Arabidopsis thaliana: one gene and its partners. The protein of the gene in region 1 interacts with the protein of each later gene in a pairwise test. Each region holds a gene or a part of one and is shown on either strand. Other genes may lie near its edges.

What was found.
Region 2: the proteins of AT4G17430 (region 1) and COR314-TM2 interact in a protein complementation assay, tested with the Arabidopsis thaliana proteins (one large-scale study listed by BioGRID).
Region 3: the proteins of AT4G17430 (region 1) and PDLP8 interact in a protein complementation assay, tested with the Arabidopsis thaliana proteins (one large-scale study listed by BioGRID).
Region 4: the proteins of AT4G17430 (region 1) and PSY1R interact in a protein complementation assay, tested with the Arabidopsis thaliana proteins (one large-scale study listed by BioGRID).

What each region holds. Positions count from the first base shown.
Region 1 is NC_003075.7:9,724,207-9,728,528, reverse strand, and holds AT4G17430 (O-fucosyltransferase family protein), read left to right. Parts: upstream 1-1,694; 5' UTR 1,695-1,727; coding exon 1,728-2,194; intron 2,195-2,271; coding exon 2,272-3,328; 3' UTR 3,329-3,819; downstream 3,820-4,322. Other genes in the region: AT4G17440 (chromogranin (DUF1639)), read right to left, coding at 1-1, 109-681; AT4G17420 (Tryptophan RNA-binding attenuator protein-like protein), read left to right, coding at 4,086-4,133.
Region 2 is NC_003070.9:10,285,531-10,289,892, reverse strand, and holds COR314-TM2 (cold regulated 314 thylakoid membrane 2), read left to right. Parts: upstream 1-1,988; 5' UTR 1,989-2,014; coding exon 2,015-2,157; exon of another isoform or gene 2,158-2,224; coding exon of another isoform or gene 2,225-2,238; coding exon 2,239-2,379; intron 2,380-2,624; coding exon 2,625-2,720; intron 2,721-2,846; coding exon 2,847-2,911; intron 2,912-3,164; coding exon 3,165-3,234; intron 3,235-3,318; coding exon 3,319-3,484; 3' UTR 3,485-3,826; downstream 3,827-4,362. Other genes in the region: COR413IM1 (COLD REGULATED 314 INNER MEMBRANE 1), read left to right, coding at 354-496, 580-717, 863-958, 1,087-1,151, 1,220-1,289, 1,383-1,548; AT1G29380 (Carbohydrate-binding X8 domain superfamily protein), read right to left, coding at 4,222-4,362.
Region 3 is NC_003074.8:22,439,785-22,444,409, forward strand, and holds PDLP8 (plasmodesmata-located protein 8), read left to right. Parts: upstream 1-1,986; 5' UTR 1,987-2,250; coding exon 2,251-2,977; coding exon of another isoform or gene 2,978-2,994; exon of another isoform or gene 2,995-3,589; coding exon 3,590-3,732; 3' UTR 3,733-3,819; coding exon of another isoform or gene 3,820-3,824; 3' UTR 3,825-4,090; downstream 4,091-4,625. Other genes in the region: AT3G60710 (F-box family protein), read left to right, coding at 414-589, 677-971, 1,117-1,257, 1,338-1,688. UniProt on the Arabidopsis thaliana protein: Modulates cell-to-cell trafficking.
Region 4 is NC_003070.9:27,216,841-27,222,813, reverse strand, and holds PSY1R (Leucine-rich receptor-like protein kinase family protein), read left to right. Parts: upstream 1-1,548; 5' UTR 1,549-1,847; coding exon 1,848-5,135; 3' UTR 5,136-5,446; downstream 5,447-5,973. UniProt on the Arabidopsis thaliana protein: Tyrosine-sulfated glycopeptide receptor with a serine/threonine-protein kinase activity. Regulates, in response to tyrosine-sulfated glycopeptide binding, a signaling cascade involved in cellular proliferation and plant growth. Not involved in PSK perception.

The DNA of each region.
Region 1 (4,322 bases):
CCTACAATGGCAGACATTGAATTGCCTAAGAAAATGGAGACACTAAAAAAACGTAGTCATTGTTTTGAATTCTCTGTGAGGCAATTCGTCGAACACCTGGTGACTTACATCGAGATGTTTCTGCATAGCTTTTGCCCTCTTCCTTGGCCGGCGAGATGACCTGTTCCCACTCATGCTGAACAAATCTTCTTCGATCTCGTCTCGAGCTAGAGCAACCCAAAGCCTATGATTCTCGTTTGCAACCTCACCACCGCCTAATCCGGGTGATTCCGCCGGGATTCCTCTCTGCCTGTTCGATTTCGGCTCAATTCCTGCGCCTGATTTCTGATTCTTCACCTCCGAACCTCCTCCTCCGCCGCCACCGCAAACCTCCGCCGTGAACACGCCGTTTCCTTTCTTCGAACCACCATAAGCCTTCCTCGGACGAAGATTCCACGTCCTCTTCGCTTCCTCCTCCTCCGTTTCTTCTCTCTCCTTCACCGACACCGGCACTTCCTCTCTCGCGGGAGAAATCTCATCGGATTTCAGCTTCTTCAGGTTATCGTGCTCTGATGAGGGAGCAAAGGAGGAGAAAGAGAGACGCGGCTGACGACTTGACCGTGACGCCACGACACGGTTAGAAACAGCCACCGTCTCCGCCGATTGAGAAGCAGACCTCTCCGACTTGGAATTCGCAGACATTGGTATGAGATTATACCAAAACGTATTCACCTGAGAGATGATCAAAAACCCTAGAAGGTAAAAAGCAGAGAGGAGAGAGAGAGATGTAGGAGATTTACGGAAGCTGATGCATGCGTAAGTTTCTAATTATGTTTTTATTCATGGGGTGTTATTGGTTTATGATTTCAAAAGACTTTTAGTGTTTTAAAGTGTTATTTAGAATTTATTGTTATTCGATCACGATTTGTTAAAAGTATGTTATATTTTGTTGGCTAAAATAAATCATTAGTTAATTATTTTATATCCTGATATATCAACATCAATTATCATCCTTCTGATATGGGGATTAATATATGTTAACAATAAATCCAGAAAATTACGTTTAGATTTAGACATATAAATAAAGAGATCTTAAAGAAAAGAAGAGAAAAAAAAGAACCCGTAAAAAGCTTAAAAGACTACAACTGCTTAAGTCTATCAATGATGATCAATATATTCATGTAAGTGCTAAATAGGTTAATTTCTCTAGTGAATTCGATTTTGGACTAAAAATCAACAAATATTAGATCATCTAGTGAATTCGATTTCTCTAGGCCATCAAAGAATATTATTAGTTAGGTCCAAAGACCTAAATTTATTTTTGTGTATAAATTTAATAAAATAGAAATTTACATTTTGATATTTTTAATATTATTTTGGTGACAAAATATTTAGAAATTTTTTATATTTTTAAATATTCTTTTATTTTCATATATTTTTTATTTTATTTTACAAAAATTTAAAAAGAATAAAAATAAAAATAAGTTCATAAATATTAATTAGCAAGATATCTAATCTCCATTGCTTGTTTAAAATGTTATGTGGACGCGCAAATAGCTTCGTATAGATTATGTTACAAAAAGATTTCTAAAATTAACTATGTTTAAGTTCGTATTATTTTAGTTAAGGCCCATCAGAGAATATTAGTTAGGCCCAAAACAGTGACACTCACCGTTTTGGCATCTTCTACACATGAGCAAAACTAGACGCAACGCAATGATGGCGACTAAAACCTCAGAGCAAAAAACATGAACAACTTCTTCAATCCCAGTAGACCAAGCCCACGTCCATGGCCAAACAGGAAGAAGCAAACCGACAAATCTGCGATATTTCTTTGCTCCGTTTCTATACTTGTTGTGTTCTTCATCGTCGTCTTCTTCATCACTTACTCCGAGATGCCCAAGTCCTTGTTCTCAATCTCTGCATTTTCTGGATCCGTTCAATTCCCTCAGTGCAGATCCGAGATACTAACCCGAACTCTTCTAGGTCAGAAGTTTCTCTGGTACGCTCCTCACAGTGGATTCAGTAATCAGCTATCGGAATTTAAGAATGCGCTTCTTATGGCGGGAATTCTTAATCGGACCCTAATTATTCCTCCGATTCTGGATCATCACGCCGTTGCTCTCGGTAGTTGTCCTAAATTTAGGGTTTTGAGTCCCAGCGAGATACGAATCTCAGTTTGGAATCATTCAATTGAGCTTCTTAAGACTGACAGGTACAAAATCTCTTTTTTTTTTCGTAATGAGTTTTAGTAATTTGATCAATGTGGGTGACAAATGTTGGTGTTTATAGGTACGTTTCGATGGCTGATATTGTAGACATTTCGTCGCTGGTATCTTCTTCGGCTGTTCGAGTCATTGATTTTAGGTACTTTGCATCACTACAGTGTGGTGTTGACTTGGAGACTCTATGCACTGATGATTTAGCTGAACAGTCTCAGGCTTATGAGTCACTGAAACAGTGTGGCTATTTGTTATCTGGAGTTCGTGGTAATGTAGATAAATGTTTGTATGCTGTGGATGAAGATTGTAGAACCACTGTTTGGACTTATAAAAATGGAGAAGCTGATGGGAGATTAGATTCGTTCCAGCCTGATGAGAAGCTCAAGAAGAAAAAGAAATTGTCCAACGTGAGAAGGCGAAGAGATGTGTATAAGACTCTTGGACATGGTACAGAAGCTGAGTCTGCAGCTATTCTAGCATTTGGGAGCCTCTTCACAGCTCCATACAAAGGCTCAGAGCTGTATATCGATATCCATAAATCTCCAAAGATAAAATCTTTGGTTGAGAAGGTCGATTTCCTTCCTTTTGTTCGAGAGATAATGATCGCGGGAAAGAAATTTGCTTCAGAAACCATAAAGGCGCCGTTTCTTTGTGCACAACTTAGATTACTAGATGGCCAGTTCAAGAATCATCGGGAGAGCACTTTTACGGGTTTATATCAGAAGTTGGAAGCTTTGAGCGTTAAGAATCCTGGTCTAATTAATGTGTTTGTAATGACAGACCTTCCTGAATTTAACTGGACCGGAACTTACTTGGGTGATTTGTCTAAGAACTCTACAAATTTCAAGCTCCACTTTATAGGGGAACAAGATGAATTCTTAGCGCGAACAGAGCATGAACTTGATTCAGCGAGTCACGGCCAGAAATTTGGGTCTATTCCGATGAGTCTTGATAGTATAAAAAAGATGCAGACCCATTGTTACCCTCATGGAGGATCCAATGTGCAGCTTTACATAGAGGAAGCTGTTTGTAGCTGTGCTTCACTGGGTTTTGTTGGTACTCCAGGGTCTACAATAGCTGATAGTGTAGAGATGATGAGGAAATACAATGCGTGTAGTAGTAGTTGAACTCAGACTGCATTTCTATTGGATTCATCTGGTGGATGAGCCAATGTGTAGTGATTTTATTAAGTTTTGCCGGTCTTTGTATAGAGATGGATAGAGATAGATGATAGATCTGTCATCTGTCTCCACTTGAAGTTATTGGTGATGAAAACAGGCTCTTAAATTGTTTTGTGTTGTTAAGTTATTTGGGAAACTATCTAAGTTTCTTATTAATAGATGAAGCTACTTGGTTCCTTTCTGATTATTCACACACAACAATGGAAGAGTAAAGGTTGCGTGGGATGGTTGCTTAGTAAAGGTTTTGTGAGTTCTGTAGATGTCTCTAGTGGTCGACAAGATTTGTAATTGTTGTACCAATGTCTTTAAACCGGCTATTGAATAAGAAATTTTGTACCAAATAAATCTAGTGAAAGAGGGTTGGTTGAGAAGAAATGTAATTATATTAAACCGGAAATGAAATTTTACGTCGATGTGTATTTTGTGACCAATGAGATCTCTCCACGTAAACAGATTCCACGTGCAGCTTCAGGCCGATTTAAGCGAATTTAATCTGTCGTTTTGTTGGGTTCCCGTCGGTGACATCCACCGCGAACATTTCGACCGGAGTTTTGAGAGAGCTCAGAGTGTTTCGAGTGTGTTATTTGGATCTGCGATCTGATCGTCTCGCATCGACGTGAAAGGTTTTCTAATCCAATTGGTTCTGTGGAAATTTGGATTCGGAGGTTTTTGTTTGGAAGATCTTTCTGCGGTTTTCACCGCCATGGCTGCTCCGTTTTTCTCTACTCCATTTCAGCCTTATGTCTATCAGGTTTGTCTTCTATCTTCGTTCTCTTCTCGCCTCTTAGATTCGTATTCTTGTCTGTCACTATCGAGAAGGCTAGTGTTCGAATATACTTCTTCGCGAGTATTTTAGGATCCTTTCTCATGTAGGTGTTGAGTAATGTGATGTGTACTTACATCTAATTCAGTGATAATGCTAATAAGCTATTTCCTGGGT
Region 2 (4,362 bases), on another chromosome or scaffold:
CAATTATTTTATGATAAGACTTGCAATATATATAAATAAAAAAACTAGTGAAATTATCTATGATCGACATGAAATTTTGTCATGTTCCAATGAATTAGATATGGTAAAGCTGACGTGGTATCCTAAGTGGGGTGGATTTGAATTGGAGTTGATTCCAACGGTGGAGATTCAAAGATTCTTTGATTGATAGTGAGCGACTCTCGTTTTCCAATCACGTGTAACTCGGCTCCACTCTAAAGCACGAAATCAACACGTCCACGTAACGATCATATATTCATGCAGTGATATAGTCGTTTAACAGAAAGATCACTCCGTCAATCTTTCCACCACTGTGACTAAATCTAAACAATTTCATGGCGAGTCTCTGTCTCTCATCGTCCCGGATCGTTTCTCTTCACCACCAGAAACCATTCCTCTCTCTTAAACTCCGGTCTCGTCCTTCAGATCTCTCCGGTCTAGGTCGCCACACGAGTCCTGTTTGCTTCAATCCGCTTAGGTACCGTATAGTGAAAACAATGGATTTGGGATTCTTTCGAGTCATGCATTTTGTGTAACTCTTTTTGTTTGTAATGTTTCTAGGTTATCGGGTGATCGTCAGCGAACCGCTACGGTATCAACGAGGGTGGAGAAGCGGCGAAAGAGAGGATCGAGTGTGGTCTGTTATGCTGCTCCGATTTCTGCCAATAGTCTACAATGGATCTCCACCATTTCTTGCCTGTATGATCTCTCTCATTTACTGTGATTTTCTTAACACATAATGCTGGTGAAATTATGCTAATGATGATTGTGTAATTTCCTCTGTTTTCATCATAACGTCAATAACATAAGTTAATTGCTATACTGAATGGTGTTTCATTTCTAGTGCATTGATGCTTGCAAGGGGTACTGGTATACATAAGTCAGTTGTTGTTCCACTATTCGCTCTCCACGCACCATCGAGCATCGTCGCCTGGATTAAGTAAGCTTTTAACATGGAGATATATTCATTAACATGGTGATATATATGGGTCTCTCTTCTTCTTTTTGCATGCTTGAGCAGCCTATTGAAGTCATTAAACTTAAACTTGTGTATCTTTATTTTTGTAGGGGAGAGTATGGTGTATGGGCAGCATTCTTGGCGCTTATTGCTCGACTTTTCTTCACTTTTCCAGGTTCGTAATCATCTTCAATATGTAGGTTGATTACAAGTTATTAATTAATTAAAGTTATACATTAATAGGTGAACTTGAGCTTCCATTCATCGCATTACTCTTGGTGATTGTGGCGCCATATCAAGTCATGAACATAAGGTTAGAATCTTAAAGAATGTAATGTTTTAATATATATCAAGGTTTTCTTTTCTTTAGTCGCCGAGACTCATTGACTTCATTATAAACTTGCAGAGGGAAGCAAGAAGGGGCAATCATAGCAATAGCAATATCTGGTTTTCTGGCTTTCCAACATTTCTCACGAGCAGGGAGCTTGGAGAAAGCATATGAGAAGGGTTCAGTTCTTGCCACTGTAGCCATTATTGGTGTCACAGTTGTATCGCTCCTTTTGTTGCTATAACTATATGCTCCTGACCAAAAATGTTAATCAGTGTAAGAATGTGTGTGAAGGAAAAAAAAGAAAGATGTGCTTGCATTTATCCGCTCTTTAAGAAATGCTGGTACATTTTTGGCAACTATTCGCTGGCAATAAAAATGATCTTTCATGTACAAACGTAAAAACAATACACATTTAAAATCTTTGGTCGACATGGGATTGGGATATTTAAAAGCTGACGTGGAATCCTACGTGGTTAGATTTGCAGTCGTATTGATGCCAACAACGGTGGAGATTCAAGATTCTTTGATTGATTGTGAACTAAACGACTGTCGTTTTCCAAACACGTATTTATGGGCCCCACTTTAAAAGCATTCCCGCTAAATCTACACCGTCCACGTAGCGATCATGATATTGATGCAAATGATTCAATTTTAACGGAAAGATGACGGAGTGATCTTTCCACCACCGTAACTAATCTTAACAATTCATGGCGAGTCTCTGTCTCTCATCGTCCCGGATCGTTTCTCTTCACCACCAGAAACCCTTTCTCGCTCTTAAACTCCGGCCTCGTCCTTCAAATATCTCCGGTCTAGGTCACAGTACTAGTGTTGTTTGCTTCAATCCGTTAAGGTATAGTGACACAGAAACACCCGATTCATAAATTCTCAATCAGTGGATTTTGGCTTTTTCTAAATGAATGTTGGTTGGTAGGTTATCGGCTGATCGTCAGCGAACCGCTACGGTGTCGGCGAGGGCTGAGAAGCGGCGAAAGAGAGGATCGAGTGTGGTCTGTTATGCTACTCCAATGTTGTCTGTTCATAATCTACAATGGATCTCGACAATTTCTTGCGTGTATGATCTCTCACTCTCATTAGCTGTGAATTTTAACGCAGAATGCTGCTGAAGATATGCTAATGTATGAAGTTTCTTACAAGTTTAGCTTAATCGGATAATAGCAAATGATTGTACAGGGAAATAGTTTAGCTTCAATTCATGTGTGAAAGTGATTTGTGATAGATAATTGTATAATTTCCACTGATTCATAATGTCAGCAGCATATAAGTTCATTTCTATACTGAATGTTGTTTCTTTTCTAGTGCATTGATGTTTGCAAGGGGTACTGGTATCCATAAGTCCTTTGTTGTTCCACTATTCGCACTACAAGCACCAATGGGCATTGTCTCCTGGATGAAGTAAGCTTTTTTTAATGCTCATTTACCTATGCTTGTGGATTTTATTCCTTTTTTTGCTATTCTGGATGACAGAAATTTTCATACTCTGCGTCTTGAATTCATCACACTTTTGCATCTAACTTGCAGGGGTGAATATGGCATCTGGGCAGCATTCTTGGCGCTTCTTACTCGACTGTTCTTCTCTTTTCCAGGTTCGTATTCGTCTTCAAGTAGGTTGGGTTATAGGTTGTTGAATTCTAGTGTTGGATTTTTTTTAGTTCAGTTGCCATTTACTAGAAAAGAAATTGGAATGAAACTCATGCTAATTTTCGACGTCAGGGGCTAAAATTTCCATTACTAAGACATGCTGAAAGGAATCACGCATGTTTTATCAGATCTTCATGTTAAATAAGAGTGTGCCTGCCTTTGTATGTTTTTAATTCTTATACAATGCCTTGTTTATAGTTGAACTTGAGCTGCCCTTCATTGCTTTGCTTTTGGTGATTGTGGCGCCATATCAAGTTATGAGCATAAGGTTAGATTCTCAAAAAGAGTGTAATGTTTCAGATCAAGGTTTTATTTTCTTTAGTCAAGACTCATTGAATTTATACGCTTGCAGAGGGAAACAGGAAGGTGCTATCCTTTCTTTAGCAATCTCTTGTTTTCTGGCTTTCCAGCATTTCTCAAGAGCAGGCACCTTGCAGAAAGCATTTGATCAGAATTCAGTTCTTGCCACTGTAGCCATAATTGGTGTCACAGTTGTATCGTTCCTTTTCTTGATATAAATATGCTCCTGACAAAAGGACTCATCTGTAAATCACTGTAACAAAGTGTATACAGAGACTAGAAATAATGTGCTGTATTATTTACTCGATTTCAATACTCAATTCAACGTGCTTGCATTTATCCGCTCTTTATGAGATGCTTGTATTTGCTACTATTCGTTGCTAACAGATTGATCTTTAGCCGCATATGATTCCACAAGGAACCAGATCAAAAATTTCAGCTTATAAGATTATGAGCTGAAAAGAGCATATTAAAGATATTGTCATCCTTTTAGAAACTGTTTGGAAATGCTGCAGGTATCATGGAGCTTGTCTGTCATTTTCGGTGTGCCTACTTGTTTTAGAGTGCTGCAGGTATGTATCTGCTTCAAGTAGCTTTCATTTTATTTTCTGTTATATCTTTCTAATAGTTAATAATGTCTGACATTGCTTTTGTATTTCTTAACCGTTCCCTAAGTATTTTATTTTCTAAAACTGTAAAGAGATACATTATGCTTAATGTGTCTACAAGAATGTATATATCCTAAGCCCTTTGATTTTGTAGTATCTCCTACTAAATAAATATACTTTCAGTGATAAACTATAGCAATAGAACAGATGGTGAGAATTAGGTCATGGATTAAAATCTTCTTGCAAATCACAGCTGCTTTCTTGAGCTCCATAGATCGCATCATAGTTATGGAAAACGCGCTTCATAATTTGCAGAGAATGATTGAAACCCTGAAACTATTGTCTGTTTAAAGATAATTTTCCCTGAGCAGTGGCATTAGTATCCCAACTGCTGTAAATATTGAGAGAAGGCTATGTGATACAGAGGTTGCTGAATTCGGAAGCCCTGTTGGCTCTGCTACGCCGAAGGGTGGTCCAGAGCCAGTTAT
Region 3 (4,625 bases), on another chromosome or scaffold:
ACGAAAAATAGAAATTAACCTCATACATAATAATTGTGATATACGTATACCCTAGTCATGTCTCGAAAGCTCGTTATTGTAAAAAAAGTAGAAACACTCTCTTTAGACCAGAGTCTTTAGAAGATAAGATACTTTTTTAACGTGAAACCAAAACCCTTCTTTCCATAAACTCGTCTCAAATTTTTTGGTTTATTAGGTTTTGGAAATATCTGAGAGTGCTCTGCTCGTACGTTGATTGTGAACTTGATCTCAACTTAATTTGCTTTCTATGAATGCGATTTCGTGTTAACTGGTCTAGAAATTTCTACGACTCATGTTGCAGAACGCGGTTTAATTTTGATTTGTTTTCTTAGACCTTAGCTAATAAATACCGTGTCTTTGTCTCTTTGTTCTGTTGATCAATTTAGGGACCAATGGAAGATTTGATAAGCCAATTGCCCAATGAGTTGCTGCAAGAGATACTCTTGAATCTTCCCACGAGTGAGTCTGTTAGGACAAGTGTCTTACCGACAAGATGGAGAAATCTCTGGCAAAGTGTTCCTGGTTTGTACCTAATTTCTCGACAGATTCTTAAATTTGTAAACTTGCGGTTAGAATATGTAATTCTGGATGATTTTGATAGTTGTGAGTCTTTCTATCTACCTCACCTTGAGGTTATGCATTTAGGGTTTCGCAGTACACCGAGTGATGTGGTTCTAGAGATGCTTATCTCGTGCTCTCCTGTTCTTCAAGTCTTGAGCATTTGTGATGTTGGAGTTGACTTTTTGAAAGTGCGATCTCAGACGTTAAGGAGCTTGAGTCTATGGACATTTATCTTTAAGGGAGAAAATGATGATGTCTCCTTGGGTGATGATGGAGAATCTGGACTTGTGATTGACACTCCTAGCTTAGAGTTTCTGCGTATCAGAGATTTTCCATTGGAAGACTTCAGAGTGGAAAGTGTTATTTCTTCTATCAAGATGTGTATCGATGTACGGTTTTATGGGGAGATGACTTTTCAAACACGCAAACTTTGCACAAGTTTTTTGCTGAGTTCTCGGAGGTCACAGATCTTAGCATCTCTGGCCATACTCTAGATGCATGTATTTGTTCTTACCAAGTGTTGGTTCTTGACAGGGAACCTATGCTTACACAAAACTGCAACAACTGCCTGAATTCAAGAACTTGACCCGTTTGTACGCTTTTCTCCATACCGACTATTCAGAGATGTTGCCTATATATCTCTCCAGCAGTCCCAACCTAAAATCTATTGACTTGGTAATGATTCCTTCTCTTGGTATTGAGAGTAGCGAGTGACTATATATATTATACATGTCTTATGGTGTTTTCCTTTGTAGGAGCTTCATGGTTATCCAAAGATGGAGGAAATTGCAAGCTCACCAGTGCCAAAATGTCTCCAAACATCCATTGAGAATGTCAAAATAAAAATGACGCCCAAGGCTGACCAAGAGAAAAGCCGAAAAGCTGAAACCGAGGTTGCTAACTACATCTTAGAGAATGCAACACTTCTGAAGCTCACTCTATGGTTAGATGATGAAGAAGAAGACGAGTCTAGCAGCGTCCTTGAGAAAATTCTCACCTTTCAAAATTACTCTTTTGTAGAGGTGAAGATAGGTCGAGAAGCATCGAAATTTCGCCTAGGTTATACATTTGATGAAGCTAAGCACTTTAGTCGTCGTTTTCTTTAAATCTCTTATGATCAATCTAATTAGCCCTTTTGGTCGTGGTCAGGATTTAAAGAAAGTTGTTTCTATCACTTGAAAATTCTCCACTAACTTGATGAGAATATGTGTGATGGAATCGATCTAGCGAACATATACTAATCAAAAGGACATGCCTAAAATGGGACCCTCTTTGCACAAAAGAAGTTTCAAGATATTATTATACCCACAAAACCAAATCTTCTTTAATCATGTCTAAATCATTTTAGGCACTCTTAACAAAACAATAATGTTATCATCCAATTTGTCTACACTTTGGTATTGATTCGTTACAAGTGAATGTTCTAGACCACGTTTGTTGATCTATTATGTAGTTTTGTATTCATCCTAGCTACATTTATATATATCCACTTATTTCTTAACTACGGTATGCATTATACATGTTTGTATTAATGTCGCCGATAAAAGTTTCGGACCCATAGTGATGAATAATCATTCTCGATTATTATTGTTAAATAAAACACTACAAGGAATAAGATAGATCAAAAACGAAAGCTCCTTTGAAAACAATCTCAAAGAACAAGAAAATATGAGAAGACTCTTTCTCTTCTCTCTCCTCTTTTTATTCTTTTACTCATCCTCCTCCTCAAGATCTTCATCAGAATCTCACATCTTCATCTACGGAGGATGTTCACCGGAAAAATACACACCAAACACACCTTTTGAGTCAAACCGCGACACTTTCCTCTCCTCTGTCGTCACTTCCTCCTCTGACGCGTCCTTCAACAGCTTTGCCGTCGGCAACGACTCCTCCTCCTCCTCATCCTCTTCCGCCGTCTTCGGCCTCTATCAATGCCGTGACGATCTCCGATCATCAGACTGCTCAAAATGCATCCAAACCTCAGTCGATCAAATCACTCTCATTTGTCCTTACTCTTACGGCGCTTCTCTCCAGCTCGAAGGCTGCTTCTTACGTTACGAAACAAACGATTTTCTAGGGAAACCAGACACAAGTCTTAGGTACAAGAAGTGTAGTTCCAAGAGCGTTGAGAATGACTACGATTTCTTTAAGCGGAGAGACGATGTGTTGTCGGATCTTGAGTCGACTCAACTCGGTTACAAAGTTAGCCGGTCCGGTTTAGTCGAAGGTTATGCTCAGTGTGTTGGTGACTTGAGTCCTAGTGACTGTACGGCTTGTCTTGCCGAGTCTGTCGGAAAATTAAAGAATCTTTGTGGCTCGGCGGTTGCAGCTGAGGTTTACTTGGCTCAGTGCTATGCTCGTTATTGGGGCTCTGGTTACTATGACTTCTCTTCAGGTCAGTCCATAAATTAAAATCTTTATTTCATTTATTAGCTATTGCTCTAATTTACGTAAGTTCTTTAATTATATTCGTGAATCATGCTTAGTGCCATGATAATATAATTGAAAATTGTAGTAATGAACTGTATAGAAATGTGTGAGAATTTGACAAAATTTAAATTTCCGCCGCTTATAATTGAGAAAATCACAAGTCTAGTCGCTCCTTGGTAGCACGAGAAAGTTGAAGAAATCATAAAATTTTCGTTGCTTTTTTTTTTTTGTAATTTCCACTGGAAAGACACCATTAAGTATTGAATAAAATAGAATTAATCTTTTGAATCATTCGTTGGAAAATTCGAGTATCATGATTATAATATCATTGGTCAGAAAAGAATGTTTTTGCAATATATTATTCTTTTCTTTATAGGCATAGCCACCCATGTCCCCATTTTCAACTTTATTTTATATATTCTTTATAGCTTGATCAATATCACATAGTCCAAAAGTCATTGCATCTTAGAAAATCTAATTCTTAGCTTGATACTATATTGTCCTTATCTTATGTACTTTAATTTGTCACATACAATATTAAGATCTTTTTAAATTTGATCTAATTTTCGTTATTAAGATCCAACGAATGGAGATCACGTGGGGAAATCAATCGCGATCATCGTAGGAGTCATTGCTGGATTCGCAATTCTTGTTGTTCTCCTCTCCCTTTGTAGAAACTCCATGCGTAAGTCTATACTTACTTGCCTAATCTTCACATGATTAAGATTTAAGATCAAATCACTCATTTTTAGTATATATTTAGAAATAAGTATCATGATCTCATAATTTTTCTTATCTGATTTGCAGATTGATATAATGAAAGGCATGATTCGGGATACAAGATTCTAGGGACCTGTTTTTTTTTTTTTGAACTCTCTTGTATTCCACTATTCCTTTTATTTTGTAGGAGGAACACATCCGTTACCGTTCCTTGCTGAAATTTTTGGTTTATCAAAAGGAAAACTATTAGTGACTGATGATATAATGATTTTTAGCTTTGAGGTATTAAATATTTGTATAGTGTGACCCGTATTGTCTGCCTTAAAAAGATGCTAACTTTATTCCATTAACTAGTTTTAGACTAAAATCCACTTTCCTTAGCAGGCGCAATTATTCGATACTCATACTTAGATAAGTAGATTATCATTTCCGGAGAACAACGTGATTCGATCGATTGAGTATCATTAAACTTTAAAAGGTTCTGCCGGCAAAAAAAAAAAAGAAGAAGGCTTATAAGACTTGAGAGGTTCCATTCAATCAATTCTTTGGTTTTCTACGATCCGGATCTACCCGGTTCTCATGGGTTTCACCACATATTCCATTGAGCCATTAAATTATTATGGACTGGGCCTCGGCCTACTAAGCTTCTAAGCCGTGTAACATATCTAAAAGACTAAAACATTTTCCATGCAACCATTCCTTTTTTTTTGTATTTTTTTAAAAATTAATTCAAGAAATTCTTTTACCAAAAACATATAAACCCATGACAAAAATAGTAATTTTCACTAATGTTACAACATATTACTCCAACAAAATTATTACTTTATATATTATTCTATTAAAATATAACTGATCATTCATGGATTTTGTTTTCTTTTCTTTTTGACTCCAAA
Region 4 (5,973 bases), on another chromosome or scaffold:
TATAAGAAATATATTAGGTGGAAAATAAAATTATTAGAGATTCTATAAATTTGATTGAACATAATAAAAATTCAGTGGAAAAACATTAAAATAGATGTGATCGTCTTTTATCGAAAAGCTAATAATATATTATCGTTGTATAAAGTCACAAGAGTTTATTTTACGGTTTATTCTCAACAATCTGAGCCTCAGAATTCTAAATTTCCTTCTTTATTTTAGATGATAGAGAGATAAATAAAGCATACATAAAGGAGGTCCAACACAACTCCAAAAGATTGTTCGGTATTATTTAATGTCAAATCTTTATATTCGATTCCACTAAAGAGATAACTATTCTTACCATGTCTTCGTAAGCTCTATCATGTTAAATAATATTTAGATAGAAAAACAAATTCACACCATCATTACTTACTGCTCCTAAACACTAGTTAAAGTATTAAACGCATTAATCATGATAGATTCTATTTAATTGGACTTCGAAGAACTCTCTTTTTAAAACATCACTCCAAATAACTGTTTTTGATCGTCAATAATTCACAAAAACACAATTTCGGTTTTAAAATTAAGTAACTTCTTATGACTTATTCTAATCGTATGAAAGTGATAAATATAATATCACACAAAATCTATACTAATGTTTTTTTTTGGGTTATAGCCATTTAATAAGTACAATTTCTGAAAAGTCTAAGACAGTTAATTTAATACGGTATTGTTTAAAGTAACTTGTTAGCTATCATATACGCCATTTGCTCATTATAAATTACGAAAAGAAACACACACATGAACAGCTTGAAGGATTTTTATAACCCTAAGAAATCAAAAAGTCAAACAAAATAAATAGTATCCTTTACAAAAAAAAAATAGTTATCATATGATCTTCTTTATCTACTTTTCGTTCTTTATGACCACTATCTAATGTTAAATGTGGCTTCCACTTGGCATAATTAAACATAAAAAGATCCTCCATAAGGCAAAAAAGTAAAGAAAGAAATGGACAAAAATAAATAAAGATGAATTACATATTCTACAATTTTAGAGGATATAGAAAAAAGTTGTGTAACACCACCACCACTACGAGCCACTACTACTAAACCAGCCGCCCCAAAAGGTAAACGCCTCTACCACAAAAAATAATCATCATAATACTATTCTTCAACTTCTTCTTTTTTATTTATTTATTTTGATTTCATATCATAATGTTTGTACCCATCATTATTATTTTATGATCAAATTCAATTTCATGATCAACATCATAGCACGCACGCATGCACCTCCCACCTCCAAAGATTGAAATGACCCAATTTCAAAATAAATCACATAAAACGTTTTTTAATCTTTCTTAATCATGAATAAATGACAGAACAAAACCAGACAAATGAAATAAGTAAAACATTTTTCATTGGTTCATATAAGTAAGGATATATAGGGCTGACTTTAATAATTACCAGAGCTATTCAGAGAGTTGTACTTGAGCTTTTATTACAAAAAGGAATAATAATTTATATATATATATATATATATATATATATATATAACTTTTTAATCAAAAAAAAACTTTACATAAAAACAGCATACCCACAACCACAATCAGGGCAGAAAGATAACATGATAAAATAAAATAAAATTTAAAAGTGAACTTTGGGTGTGACAAGAAGTTTTCTTCTGTTTGGTCTGACTATTCCCTTTGGTCAACGATGGTATTGAGAGCCATTTACAAGCTTCGGACAGAGAAACCCAGATTGGATAATCATGTCTTTTGTTTCTTCTTTTCCCTCTCCTTCTTCTTCTTCTTTTTCAAGCTTTCTTAATCTTTCTCAGCTTCTTCTTCTTCTTCTTTTGTTCTCGCCATGATTGACGAGAAGATGAGATCTAAATCCATTGGTCCTTTTGTGAGACAAGTAAAACCTTTGAGTCCTCACATGGTTCTCTTTGTCCTTCTCTACGTTCTTTCCATTTCTGTCTTCTTTCTTACAGTTTCAGAGGCTGTTTGTAATCTTCAGGATCGAGATTCTCTCCTTTGGTTCTCTGGCAACGTATCATCTCCAGTCTCTCCTTTGCATTGGAATTCGTCCATTGATTGTTGCTCCTGGGAAGGAATCTCTTGTGATAAGTCTCCTGAAAATCGTGTTACTTCGATTATTTTGTCCTCTAGAGGACTCTCTGGCAATCTTCCGTCGTCTGTTTTGGATCTCCAGCGTCTCTCTCGTCTCGACCTTTCTCATAACCGTCTCTCTGGTCCACTCCCACCTGGTTTCCTCTCTGCCCTTGATCAGCTCTTGGTTCTTGATCTTAGTTACAACAGTTTCAAAGGTGAATTGCCACTTCAACAATCATTTGGCAATGGAAGCAACGGAATCTTCCCAATTCAGACCGTTGATCTCTCCAGCAATCTTCTTGAGGGAGAAATTCTCAGTAGTTCTGTTTTTCTTCAGGGTGCTTTCAATTTAACCAGTTTCAATGTCAGCAACAACAGCTTCACGGGTTCTATCCCTTCCTTCATGTGCACAGCTTCGCCGCAGCTCACCAAACTGGATTTCTCCTACAATGATTTCAGCGGTGATCTCTCTCAAGAATTAAGCAGATGCTCGAGGCTAAGTGTTCTTCGAGCAGGCTTCAACAATCTCTCTGGTGAAATCCCCAAAGAAATCTACAATCTTCCTGAGCTCGAGCAACTCTTTTTACCAGTCAACCGTCTTTCTGGCAAAATTGATAATGGGATTACTCGTCTCACCAAACTGACATTGCTTGAGCTTTACTCTAATCACATCGAAGGAGAAATACCCAAGGATATAGGTAAGCTTTCGAAACTGAGTAGCCTCCAACTCCATGTCAATAACCTCATGGGTTCTATCCCGGTTTCTCTCGCCAATTGCACAAAACTCGTGAAGTTGAATTTACGGGTTAATCAGCTGGGAGGAACTTTATCGGCGATAGACTTTTCCCGGTTTCAGAGCCTCAGCATTCTGGACCTCGGAAACAATAGCTTCACCGGCGAATTTCCCTCCACGGTTTACTCATGCAAAATGATGACAGCAATGAGGTTTGCAGGCAACAAGTTAACGGGACAGATATCTCCTCAAGTACTGGAATTGGAATCCCTGTCGTTCTTTACTTTTTCAGACAATAAAATGACGAACCTTACAGGGGCTCTCAGCATTCTACAAGGCTGCAAGAAGCTTTCTACTCTCATTATGGCAAAGAATTTTTACGACGAAACGGTACCAAGCAACAAAGACTTTCTTCGGTCAGATGGATTTCCAAGCCTCCAAATTTTTGGTATCGGTGCGTGCAGATTGACAGGTGAAATACCAGCTTGGCTGATCAAGCTCCAGAGGGTAGAAGTTATGGACCTGTCCATGAACCGATTCGTGGGGACAATTCCTGGTTGGCTAGGAACTCTTCCAGACCTTTTCTACTTGGATCTTTCCGATAACTTTCTAACAGGAGAGCTTCCAAAGGAACTGTTTCAGCTGAGAGCTCTGATGTCGCAAAAGGCATACGATGCAACAGAGCGGAACTATCTGGAGCTGCCGGTTTTTGTCAATCCCAATAATGTCACCACTAATCAGCAATACAATCAGCTTTCCAGCCTCCCACCTACGATATACATCAAGAGGAACAACTTGACTGGGACTATACCAGTCGAGGTTGGGCAGCTAAAGGTTCTCCATATCCTGGAGCTTCTAGGTAATAATTTTTCTGGCAGCATCCCAGATGAATTGTCAAACCTCACTAACTTAGAGAGGCTGGACCTGTCCAACAACAATCTCTCCGGTAGAATTCCATGGTCACTCACTGGACTCCATTTCCTGTCATATTTCAATGTTGCAAACAACACTCTCAGTGGGCCGATACCCACAGGGACCCAGTTTGATACCTTCCCAAAAGCAAATTTTGAAGGAAACCCCTTGCTGTGCGGTGGTGTACTGCTAACCTCCTGCGATCCAACTCAGCACTCTACTACAAAGATGGGTAAAGGAAAGGTCAACAGAACGCTTGTTTTGGGGCTTGTCCTTGGGCTTTTTTTTGGCGTCAGTTTGATTTTGGTGCTGCTAGCTCTGTTGGTGCTTTCTAAAAGGAGAGTAAATCCAGGAGACTCTGAGAATGCTGAACTGGAGATAAATTCCAATGGCTCGTATTCTGAAGTCCCTCCAGGGTCGGATAAAGACATAAGTCTTGTACTGTTGTTTGGAAACAGTAGATATGAAGTAAAAGACCTGACCATATTTGAGCTCTTGAAAGCTACCGACAACTTCAGTCAAGCTAATATAATTGGCTGCGGCGGGTTTGGCCTTGTCTATAAGGCTACCTTGGATAATGGAACGAAACTGGCGGTTAAGAAACTCACAGGAGACTATGGTATGATGGAAAAGGAATTCAAGGCAGAGGTAGAAGTTCTGTCCAGGGCGAAACATGAGAACCTGGTCGCTCTACAAGGTTATTGCGTCCATGATAGTGCCCGGATACTAATTTACTCGTTCATGGAGAATGGTAGTCTGGATTATTGGCTGCACGAAAATCCTGAGGGTCCAGCTCAGCTGGATTGGCCAAAAAGACTCAACATTATGAGAGGAGCAAGTAGTGGACTAGCATACATGCACCAGATATGTGAACCACACATAGTACACCGAGACATCAAGTCCAGCAACATCCTTTTGGATGGAAATTTCAAGGCATATGTAGCAGATTTCGGGTTGTCAAGATTGATCCTTCCATATCGCACCCATGTAACAACTGAGCTAGTGGGCACATTGGGTTACATTCCCCCAGAGTATGGACAAGCTTGGGTAGCCACTTTGAGAGGTGACGTGTACAGTTTTGGTGTAGTCATGCTCGAGCTTCTCACAGGGAAAAGACCAATGGAGGTTTTCAGGCCAAAGATGTCAAGAGAATTGGTCGCATGGGTGCATACTATGAAAAGAGATGGGAAACCAGAGGAAGTGTTTGATACATTGCTGAGAGAAAGTGGAAATGAAGAAGCGATGCTTCGTGTGCTTGACATAGCCTGCATGTGTGTGAACCAAAATCCAATGAAAAGACCAAACATTCAACAAGTTGTAGACTGGCTAAAGAATATAGAAGCGGAGAAAAACCAAAATAACAGAGAAGAACCTGAAGAAGAAGAAGAGACGTAACTGTGTGTGTGCCTTCCTTCCCTACATTCATCATTGTGACCAGATTCAAATATCTGCATAAGTAAATATACACATATTTTTCTTGTCAATTGCATATGTTAACCATCATTTCCATGTAAATTATAATTTTGATGGTAATAGAAGCTTTGATGATGTAAAGAACAGGAATTTATGCAGCTCGTGACATTCAAACGATTTCTATATACATGTAGCTCTCTAGCTATGTAAAACCCTTTGGCTTTAACATGATCAAAAGCAGATTTTTATAAAAGGATTTGATTAGAAATCTGGAATGTATCGTATGATCAAACCAACTTTGGCTTCCATGAAATTTCTCCGTTCTTAAGAGGTCTAAGAAAACAAAAAAATCTGTGATGCTAACAGAATAACTCAAGTGGGGTCTGTAAGCGGCATTTAATCGAACATTTGGTGTGCATAGTTACCAAAGAGACATTGAGTGAAAAGAAAGAGTCGTATGACGCGCGAAAGAAGACAAAGCATGAGAATCTGAGAAACTGAGACATACCTAAACATCAATGGAAGATTCAGAGACAGAGAGAGAGAGAGAAAAAAAGAGAGAGGTTTTTGTGAAACGAAAGCTTTTGATTTAGACTTTTAAAACTTATTGGATAATATATGTCTTGCTAAACGTCGTCGTTTTGAGTGTTTTTGGGAAAATAAGCTATATAGAGTAACGCCAAAAAAAGAAACCCTATCGTGATCAAAAGAATAGTGTTACGTTTCTTTGTTGATAAAACCTTGAGATACTCCTCAAATATCTTAATCTCTCAATTAAGCAAGAGACATACACGTTTATTTATCCGGTTTGATTAGTCGA